Linked DNA regions of Macaca fascicularis. Each later gene encodes a partner of the first gene's protein in a complex. Links are inferred from orthologs where the notes say so. Each region holds a gene or a part of one and is shown on either strand. Other genes may lie near its edges.

Evidence for each region.
Region 2: the proteins of MPP1 (region 1) and GYPC are in contact, whole or in part, in an NMR structure (PDB 2EJY), measured with the Homo sapiens proteins. The link is inferred for Macaca fascicularis from reciprocal best matches to the Homo sapiens genes MPP1 and GYPC. Residues at the interface, in NP_002427.1 of Homo sapiens: Pro81, Met82, Gly83, Ile84, Leu86, Lys87, Leu88, Leu100, Val130, Gln134; in NP_002092.1 of Homo sapiens: Arg123, Lys124, Glu125, Tyr126, Ile128.

What each region holds. Positions count from the first base shown.
Region 1 is NC_088395.1:160,894,413-160,899,385, forward strand, and holds part of MPP1 (55 kDa erythrocyte membrane protein), read right to left. Parts: intron 2,586-4,973; exon of another isoform or gene 2,552-2,585; coding exon 2,355-2,551; intron 1,374-2,354; coding exon 1,267-1,373; intron 571-1,266; coding exon 490-570; intron 1-489. UniProt on the Homo sapiens protein: Essential regulator of neutrophil polarity. Regulates neutrophil polarization by regulating AKT1 phosphorylation through a mechanism that is independent of PIK3CG activity.
Region 2 is NC_088386.1:4,918,220-4,923,887, forward strand, and holds the start of GYPC (glycophorin-C), read right to left. Parts: upstream 3,838-5,668; 5' UTR 3,748-3,837; coding exon 3,699-3,747; intron 1-3,698. UniProt on the Homo sapiens protein: This protein is a minor sialoglycoprotein in human erythrocyte membranes. The blood group Gerbich antigens and receptors for Plasmodium falciparum merozoites are most likely located within the extracellular domain.

The DNA.
Region 1 (4,973 bases):
CAACTCTAAAGACAGGAAGGTGAGCAGCCCGCCAGAGGCAAAGCCTACATACCTGGGTTTGAAGCAAGGACTTACTCTGTTTCAGGTCAGAGTCACTGCTTGGGGGAAGCTTCCAAGGCTTATATGGGTGACTGACAGTTCAGAATACTAACAAAATGCTAGCGAAGCTCTCCAACATATTTGCTTTAAAAAGCATATCACTGCCAGTGGACAGATGAACAAAGAGCAAAACCTTGTTTCGGACCTGCCAGCATGAAACCTAACCAAAGAGAATTCGTTGCTAAATAGTAGAGAAACTTATAAGGTTTAGTTTCATTTGTGAGGTGGACCCAGATGGGGTGCATGTGAGGATTCAGAAAATTCCTTACACCTGCTCTATGTGGAGAACCCAAGAGACCTCACTTATTTTCTTCCTCACTGCCTTTTTCTGGGGTGGGCACATGATGCAGGCAGGAAAATAAAGACAGAAATGTGCAAATGAGAAGATACCGATCAGCACCAGGGTCTTCCTCTTGAATGCAGGGAGCCGAACGACTTCCTCGTAGGAAACAACATCCAACTGATCAAAAACTAGAGACAAAGAAAACCAAGCAGTGTTCATTTCCAGAGCTGGGAAGAACAGTGTTCCACACTCTGAAGTGGGAAAGAACCTCACGATATCTCAACAAGCAGGGAGGAAGTGACTAGAGATGAGGCTATTGACCCAGCTGCTCAAGATGGAGACCTGGTGTCATCCTGACTCTCCACCCCCTCACCTGCTCACAACCCAAGACTGCCACGATCATTCCCTGGCTGGTGGTGTGCATGTGACATCTCAGAAAGAGAAATGCAGATGGAAAGGTGACCGTGTGAATTCTCTGCTCAAAACCCTTCACTAGCTCCACAGTCTGTAGTACAAAATTGAAAACGCTAGGGAGGGTGCACGAAGCTCCTATGACCTGGTCCTGGCCTCTCCCTCTGGCCTGTGTTCTTGCCCCACTTCTCCTTTCCCACCACAGATGTTCTGGCCACATCTACTTCTGTGTGAGGGGTGGGGTGATGAGTAGGTGTAGGCAGACCACTAGTCCTCCTTTACCTCCACTGGTCTGACTGCGGCAAGCTTGTGAAGATGGATTCAATAAAAAGAAACCAGAAGAAATTATATGCTTTATGTAGAATGTGCCTTCCGCTGCACACTGCACCACCTCCCCTTTTCTGCTGGTTACAGAGACTGGGAAACACACGAATGCTGGAGGAGCCTGGGGCAAGAAGGCTCAGAAAGCTTACTCGAGCTGTGCTTGGCCAGATATTTGTCTTTGTACTTCTTCTTCTTCCCAAAGGGACTGCAGCTCGGGGCTTCGCTAGGAGCTGACTGAGCTATACTTGCCACTCGCCTGGTAGGAAAAGACAATCAAGGGGTCAGCTTTCCTCCCCCTCCCCTCATAACCCCCTAGTCACTCATTCCCTAATCCCCTTCACTCTCTGAGTGTCCGTTACAGTGGGACATAATGTGTGCAAAGCGCCCCATACGCTGTTTGGTGCATCTTGCACTGTGCCCTGCCCTCAGTCAGGGACCTGGCCCCTTGAGTCTGTGTCATCCAGTACCTGTCAGCACATTCTGGACACAACGCACAAACAACGTGCTTTCTTTGGTCTAGACCATCAAGGTCTCAAACCTTTATGACCCTAAGAAATACACTGTACATTGCAAGCCAGTATTATACATACATCTATAAACAAAACACATACACACACCCCACATATATATATCTAAAACAACTGCTTCACAAAACAATAACTTGTATTACTACATGTAATAGATTCTAATATTTCTATTCAATGTCAACCCCACAAGGGTTGTAATCTTTACACTGGGGTAATTTTGCACAGGCAGAGGGAGGCTCAGTGTTGGATATGTTATAGGTTGGAACTGTTTTGTGAATTTTTTTGGGAGCAATCTGACTCAGGGACAGGAATTATTTTTTCTATGTACCAGAAATGTGCCTAAAGGACACATACTTAAATGTGACTGTTTTCTGCAGGACTCCAAGGAAATCCCAGAAACAGTATGGCTGGTAGAAGCGCACTAGCTTGGGAGATAGGAGACCAGGGAGGGCTCCGTCCCAGCACTGTCACGTGCTTTGTAACTATGGGGAAAACGTTTAAGGAAGCAAGAGGCCCACATAGGAATGAAGAGCTATTTGGGCTCCCTTGCCTGTAGTTGCCTCTTTAACCCTCCCCCACCCATTATGCCAGGAAATCTAGGAGGTCTCCTTGGTCGAGAAACAGAAACTACAAACAAAATGACAGATTTTCTGAAGCTAAGTTATTTGTGGCAGGCACATGGCCCTTCCGCCTGCACAAAAATGGCTCACCATTCCTGCAGTTCAGGGGAAGGGATCAATCCTGCTGACTCCTTGGAGGAGCCTTCCACCCGTCCCTGCCACCAATTGCTGTCATCCTTGTTGATAATCTGGATAATGTCCCCAGTAGCAAACTTCAGTCCCGCCTCCTTGCAAGGGATCAGGTTGTCCTTTTTGGGATCATAGTCAAACTGCGCTCTCATGAACATCTAAAAAGAAGGCAAAAGGAACTGCAGGCGGCAGCTTCAAAAGAAACACCAGCATCAGAGCATGTCCTGCTGTAAACAAATTGGGTCAAGATACACAAATCTGACAAGAATCTTACAATTTCTCTCTGCAACAGAGATGTAAAAACGCCAAACAAAATATTAGCAAGTCAAATTTAGCTATGTATAAAAAGTATAATAAATCACACCCAAACAGGATCTAGTTCAGCAATATAAGAAGGTTTACTACCTGAAGGCCAATAAATTCACCACATTAACATAAAAATGGAAAAAGATCATATGATCCCCTCAACAGATGCAGAAAAAGCCTATGATAACATTCAAAACCCATTCAAGATTAAAATTCTTAGCAAACTTGGAATAGAAGGGAAGTTCTTTATTGTGAGAAAGAATACCTACAAAAACCCTACATCCAGCGTCATACTTCTCAGTGAAAGATTAAAAGCTTTACCCCCTTTTTTTTTTAAAGGACATGGGTCTTGCTATGTTACCCAGGTTGGTCTCGAACTCCTGGGCTCAAGCAATCCACCCGCCTTGGCCTCCCAAAGTGCTAGGATTACAGGCGTGAGCCACCACACCTGGCCAGCTTTCCCTTTAAGATGGAAAAATAAACAAAAATGCCTGCTATCATCACTTCCACTGAGATATGGTGCAGATGCCTCTTTTATCCAAATTGACATGCAGGTTTGGCATAGGGATAAACAAACAGTACAATGGAAAAGAATAAATAGGCCTGTAAATATCACTCATGACAAAAGTGATGGTGTACAGTAAATGATACTGGTTCAATTGGTATCCATATGGAAAAACTGGAATCTTGACCTCTTACCTTACAATATGTATAACAATCAATCCCAGATGGGTTGTGGATCCAAATGTGAAAAATCAAACAAGTAAGCATTTAGAAGAAAACATAGGAGAATATCTTAACCTTGTAGTAAGTAAAAACTTTTAAAACAAGACGTAAAAAGTGCTAATCAGAAAAAAGTGGTAGATTGGATTTCATTAAAATTGAGAGTTTCTAGTCATTAACAGGAACCATGAAGAAAATAAGCCACAGAAGAAGAGAACATACTTGGGATGCATATGACAAAGGACTCTTATCCAGAATATATGAGGAACTCCTACAAATCAGTGAAAAGCCTTGAATTGGTATCTTACAAAAGAGGATACCCAAGTGGAAAAAAAACATATAAAAAGGAGTTTACCCTCACTAGTCATTAGAGAATTTTTAGAATCACAATGTGATACCACCATCAGGATGGCCAAAGGGCGAAAAAAAAAACCAAACAAATCAGACAATGGTAAGTATTGGTGAGAATATAGAATAACCAGAACTGTCATACTATGCAGCTGGGGATGTCACATGGTTCAGCTACTTTGGAATACTATTTGGCAATATCATCTAAAGATGAAGACACACATATACTACAACCTGGCAATTCTACTCTCAAAAGAAAGGCATAGATGTATGCACAAAACACATGCATAAAAATCATATGATTTTTCTCCATTTTTCTGTTAACGTGGTGAATTCATTGCCCTTCAGGCAGTAAATCTTCTCGTATTGCTGAATTAGATCCTGTTTGGTTAATGGCAGCACTACGTAAGACCAAAAAAGCTGACTGAATAAATTGTAGCATGTTCATACAATGAATGAATGAGAATGAAGCAATATAGGCGATTCTCATAAACATAATACTAAGTGAATAAAATGAGACACCAAAGAATTCATACTGTATAATTCAATGTTAATACATTTCAAAAAGGGGCAAAAGGGCCGGGCACGGTGGCTCACGCCTGTAATCCCAGCACTTTGGGAGGCCGAGGCGGGCGGATCACAAGGTCAGGAGATCGAGACCACGGTGAAACCCCGTGTCTACTAAAAATACAAAAAAAAAATTAGCCGGGCGCGGTTGTGGGTGCCTGTAGTCCCAGCTACTCGGGAGGCTGAGGCAGGAGAATGGCGTGAACCCGGGAGGCGGAGCTTGCAGTGAGCCGAGATCGCGCCACTGCACTCCAGCCTGGGCTGGGCGACAGAGCGAGACTCCGTCTCAAAAAAACAAAACAAAACAAAACAAAACAAAAAAAACAAAAAGGGGCAAAACTCATCCTTGCTGTTAGAAGTCAGGGTTATGGTGGGCCTTGAGGAAACAGGCATGGTGGGGCTGGGGGCGGTGGTCTTAGGCTGCTGGCATATTCTGTCTCTTGAGCTGGGTGCTGGTTGCATGGGTGTGTTCAGTTTGTGAAAAATTCATCCAGTTTTATACTTGTGATGTGTGCCCTTTGTTGAATATATACCCATATATGCCAAAACTTCAATTTAAAAGTTTACTTAAGAAAATTATACCATCATACTACAAGTAACCTGCAACAGAAACTTCAGATGTATTCTTCTAAATAT
Region 2 (5,668 bases), on another chromosome or scaffold:
TGGCGTCTGGCAACTGTGTTTCACCCGAAAATCTCTACAAAAAATACAAAAATTAGCCGGGTGTGGTGGTGCATGCCTGCAGTCCCAGCTACTTGGGGGTTGAGGCAGACAATCTCTTCAATGCAGGTAGTGGAGGGTGCAATGATCCGAGACGCACCACTGCAGTCCAGCCTGAATGACAGAGCACGAGCCTCTGTCTCAAAAAAAAAAAAAAAAAAAAAAAAGGAAAGGAAAGAAAAATGCCTATCATAGCAGGTGTGCAGGGGAGACCCAGGCAAGGCCCTTACCAGGGCTTGGCATCTAAGTTTGTTGTTATTTTATCAAAAGCTAAAAACAACAGCTGTCTGGAGGGTCACTCCTGAAATTACCAGCATCCTCAGGCCAGGTTTGCGCCAATAAATTCCGTTTTCCGTTAACAAAAGCCACCGTCCAAGCCTCTGCCACTGGGCGCAGGTCCAGGCCCTTCTGCTGTTGCTCATCAGGTGACTCTGGGGAAGCAGCTGTTATTCCCACTCGCAGATGGGAAAACTGAGGTGCTGGGGTATTTCCTGTCTCTCCCAAAGCTGGTGAACATTGGAGGGCCGTCAAACCCAGGGCTGACTCCACAACACGGATGTTGCTCGGGCCTCTGCTCTGCCTCTTACTCATCATGTGATGAGGACATGTCCTTTCACTTCTGGGGCACGTTTCCTCACGGGGGTGGGGTGCTGACAGGAAACGGACAAAGGCATCAACCGACACTTCCCAGAAAAGTAATGCAGCCTCTTATGGAAGTAAGAAAACATGCTCCGTCTCACTTAATTACAGAGGCTCATTCCAAAGTGACAGCATTTTTTTTTTTTAACCCCTCAGTTTGGCTAAGATAAAAAAGTGCAGTGTGAGTGAGGATGCAGGGAAATAGTGAAATAGTGACTTTCACAGGCTATTTGTGAGCATGAGAAACCAGTGTGAACTTTAGGAGGGTAGTTTCTTAAGATCGACTAACATTTTAAATGGATATATACTTTGTCCCAGAAATCAAATGCTGAGGTGGGAGAATTTATCCCAACAGTTTACAGACACAAGCACGTAAAATCCTCCTTACGCATTGTCACAGGAGTACTGTATGTGGTTTAAAAAATTAAATGAAGTCTGCATACAGCCTAAATGCCCATCAGCAGAGGAACTGGTTAAAGAAAAAAACAAGGTATAACCTTTCAGAGATATTCTGAGGGAAAAAGCAAGATGACATTAAATATATAAAATAAGTTTTTATTATGTCAAATAAGAAATATTTGTATCAGCAAATTTACTTCTAGAAGGATTATCCTCAATAAATACAGTAATTGCCATTGAGGTAGGGAGAAAGGTGTCTTTTTCCTATTTTTAACCCTTCATTCACTGTTAACTTTACTGTTTGGTTTTGTGTTTAGAGCGTGCTGTTGGCCCACTGTGTGTGCTCAGTTACGGGAAGATGTTTTGGCTGTGGCCTCAGACAGGCACTTGAGGCATAGATGTATATACAGGTCTGCCACCCGAAGAGGCAAACTGACTTGGCTTGGCCCAACCTCTCACCCCTGTGGAGGGGACCTCTTCCTACTCATTGCAGACGAGTTCACTTGTTCCCACCACAAGCGCAGAATGCCTTGTACTTCCCACCCCTTTGCTCCCCAGGGAGCTCTGCAAGTCCCCAGAAATACTTGCCCAACCACTGGCACCCTTGGAAAGGTCCAGCTGCTGACCAGCAGCGCCCTGCGACTCCCAGTGCCCGTGACATCTGGAGGAACTGAGCAATGGCTGAGGTGGAATTTCATTTGGCACTTAATGCCATCCTCTGCTTCTGCCAGAGGCGGTGTATTCTATATAAAGCTGCCAAACCTGGCCATCTTCTCACTGAGCCTTGACCTCTTCCATCCAAGGGCAAGGCCACGGATCGCTGTGCATGACTCCCGCGCAGTAAATGTGGCATTGGGACCTAGCCCAGCTGAGCTGAGCAAAGCAGGCCTGCCTGGCGGAAGTGGGTCCTCTCCACTCTAACCTCTGGCTCTGATGAGCAGCGGCTACATAAACTGAGACAGGATATAGACACATCCTGCCTGAGTTAGCAGCAAGAAATAGCCGCCCCCCTTCCGCCCCCCCCACCCCCTGCCGTTCTCGCACAGCAGGGATCCTGCCATAAATCAGTCCGAAGTCTAAAGCGGAATGGCTTGCAAGCAAGGGCTGCGCAGCTGTTTGTCTCCCAAGGCAAGTGTTGTAGGTCTGAAATCTGAGTCCTGGAGAACTGCTTGGGCGGCTGGGCTGGGCTGGGCACGGGGGCGGGGGTCAGGCAAGCCCATCCTCTTCAGACATGGGAATGCCTGTCAGCCTCACCTCCTCAGTGCCTGAATTGGAATAATGACAGTGGCTTCTGTCCCTTTAACCCAGGACCCGCCATATACACACACACAAACACGTGCTCAAGTTACACACACACGTAAACTCCGGGAACCACAGTCTCATGGACAATGATATAAACATGCCCAGCACGGATCCAGCACTTATGATGTGTCAGTCTCCGTGCCGGGACATTGATACGGACTTCTTACTGCTGGATGAGGAATCTCCTGTTATTATTCCTACTTTGCAGATGAGGAAACTGGAGCTAAGAGAGGCTGCCTTGTTTAGAGGCAGTGCAGTGATCCCAGTGCAGACTGAGGGGCCTCGCTCTCAAGTACCATTTACGCCCGCGCACTCCCAGGCCGACCCAAGCACAACCACGGGCACACGGAGTGCCGTGTACACACGTAGACCGAAGCTACGCTCCTCCATGCCAAGCTCCAGGCTCGGGCAGGGTGGGGTTGAGGCCTCACAACCCCCTGGATTTCAAAGACTTTGAGTTGGTGTCTCCAATACCCATATCATCATCATATCAATAAGGTAACATTATCACATGATAGGCTCAGGCTATCTCCTCTCTGACAGACTCTAAGAATAAGACCGCGGCAGGGTGGGGGATAAGAGGGATATGCATTAGGTTTTTAGGTAAAATAAAATGGTAGTTATTATTGCAAAAGTAACAGCAGAGGAAGAGCGCAGAGAGAGGCCCAGCAATGTTTCCAACCACCTACAAAGACTTTCATCGCATATGATTTCCTGTCAGCAAGAAAACGTAATGGTTTAAAAGAGAAAGAAAACAAACAGCGAGGAATTACAAATCCCCAAAGGATCCAGGCCGCAGGATTTCCCCGCATCTGTGTGCCTTTGCAGCGCCCAGAGGAGCGAGCAAGTCCCTGGGCAAGGCTGGAGTTGCCTGGAGTTCACCAGAGCCTGCCCGGTCGGCCCCTGGCTAGGGAGCAGCACAGACGCAACTTGTGATGTGGACTCTTCCCTAACTGTTCTTTAGGGGGACAGTGCTGGCCCCACACATTTCCCATGCCCCGCACAAAGAAACAGAGAGCGGGCGACACGCCCTGGGCGGGCGGGCTGGCGGCCTCTCCAGCTCGGGGCGCGTGGAGGCTGCGCGTCGCCGTCCGGGACGCGGGACAGGGACTCCGCGCAGCCCAGGCGCCGGGGAACCGGGGCTGGAGTCGGGGATCTGAGCCCAGCGGGCGCCTCCTCCGCCTGGAGGCCGGGCAAGGACCAGGACACCCGGGAGTCCGTGACCGCGGCTCGGCCCCTGGCTGCTGCGGGCCGCGGCCTCCAGTGGGTCCCCAGGACCCCTCCCCACGGCGGGTACTCACCGAGGCTGAGTGGCCGCGCCGTGCCGTTGGGGCTGCTGGTCCTGGGCATCAGCCCGGGCAGAGACCGCGGGGAAGGGCCGGACCGGGCCGGGCCGGGGGAGGGTCGCGCTCCCGGGCTCCTGACCCTCAGCGGCGAGAGGAAGCGGCACCTGGGTCACACTCCTCCCGCGCGGGCCGAGGGGAGGGGCTCTGGCCCGGAGATAGGCAGACTTCATTTTTTTTCTGCAGACTTGGCTGGTAGGGTTTCCACCCTTTTTTTTTTTTTTTTTTTGAACACACACCCGCCCACTTCTGAACTCTTCTTTGCTCCAACTTTCCTGCGCAAGAACCACGCTTTTCTAACCGTTTCTCTTTCCATCTGCCACTACCGGATACAGAGGTTGTGGTTGAGAATTCCCCCTGGAGTGCAGGGAAAACTCGCCAATGTGACTTGCTGGCCTGGCCCAGCACTGTCGGGAATGGTGACCAAATAGGGCAGACCTGTGTTGAAATCTTGGCTGGCTGCGCGGCCGCTGGATAGCTGGGCGGCCTCTCTGAGCTAGCCACGGGGCATTTGTCCCTGGAGAGAGTCCCTGTCTTCTTGGCCTTTGGGGGCCCTGTACCCATGGATGGGGTGTTGAGCAAAGATCGTTCCAAAACAGGAAGAATTGCTGGACAAGGGTTGTGATTTGTTCCCATTGCTTTTGTCTGAAGCTGCCAGACACAGTGCAGTTTGTGAATTCGCTCTACTTTTGCCATGAAAACCTCCACAAGGATTTCGTTACATATCTTGGTTGGTTAAATGCAGTCAACTGGCACCACCTACAAAAAAGTATATCATAGCATTATCTGCCCCTTCTGCCCAGAGACAAGGGCAGGGAACTTGAGGCCCTTGTTTTAAATCCCCGCCCAGGGGAACACCCTGTGCTTCTCCTATGTGATATCTGAACCGTCCTGTGCTGCTTTTCTTTTTTTTTTTTTTTTTAATTGTACTTTAAGTTCTAGGGTACATGTGCACAACGTGCAGGTTTGTTACATATACATACATGTGCCATGTTGGTGTGCTGCACCCATTAACTCGTCGTTTACATTAGGTATATCTCCTAATGCTATCCCTCCCCCTCCCACCACCCCACCACAGGCCCAGGTGTGTGATGTTCCGCTTCTTGTGTTCAAGTGTTCTCATTGTTCAGTTGCCACCTGTGAGTGAGAACATGCGGTGTTTGGTTTTCTGTTCTTGTGTTAGTTTGCTGAGAATGATGGTTTCCGGCTGCATCCATGTCCCTACAAAGGACATGAACTCATCCTTTTTTATGGCTGCATAGTATTCCATGATGTGTATGTGCCACATTTTCTTAATCCAGTCTGTCATTGATGGTTATTTGGGTTGGTTCCAAGTCTTTGCTATTGTGAATAGTGCCGCAATAAACATATGTACTTTATAGTTCCCCAAGCACTTTTGTGACGCCCTCGTCTCCCCTACCTTCTGCCATTAAGGCCTGTCCTGCACAATCCAGAGAGCCAGGCCAGTTGTCTGTACAGTGTATGGGCGGTGCCTTTGGGGCTGTCATCTGCATTGAATACAATGAGAGGCTGAGCCCTGGAGATGTGCAACACAGAGGCTTTGCTCACCTCTACCTGGGCTGCACAAACTCCAGGCCTTCTTGACGCAGTGGGAAAGCACTTATGATTCACTTTAGTTAGATCATGAAGAAGCCCCGATGCTGACAGATCTTTAGTCCAACTGCCATGTGCAGCACAGCCATGGTGAATTGAAATAAACTCCTCACCGAATGCCCTGAGTCTTGATTTCCTCATCTATAAAATGGAGGCAAGAACACCTGCATTCCAGGGTTTTACAGAGGCAGTGATTGTAGAATCACAGTGGGAACAGAAAAGGCATTTAATAAACAGAAACAAGCAATGATTAATTCATTTATTTTTATTTTTTATTTTCTGAGACGGAGTTTTTGCTCTTGTTGCCCAGGCTG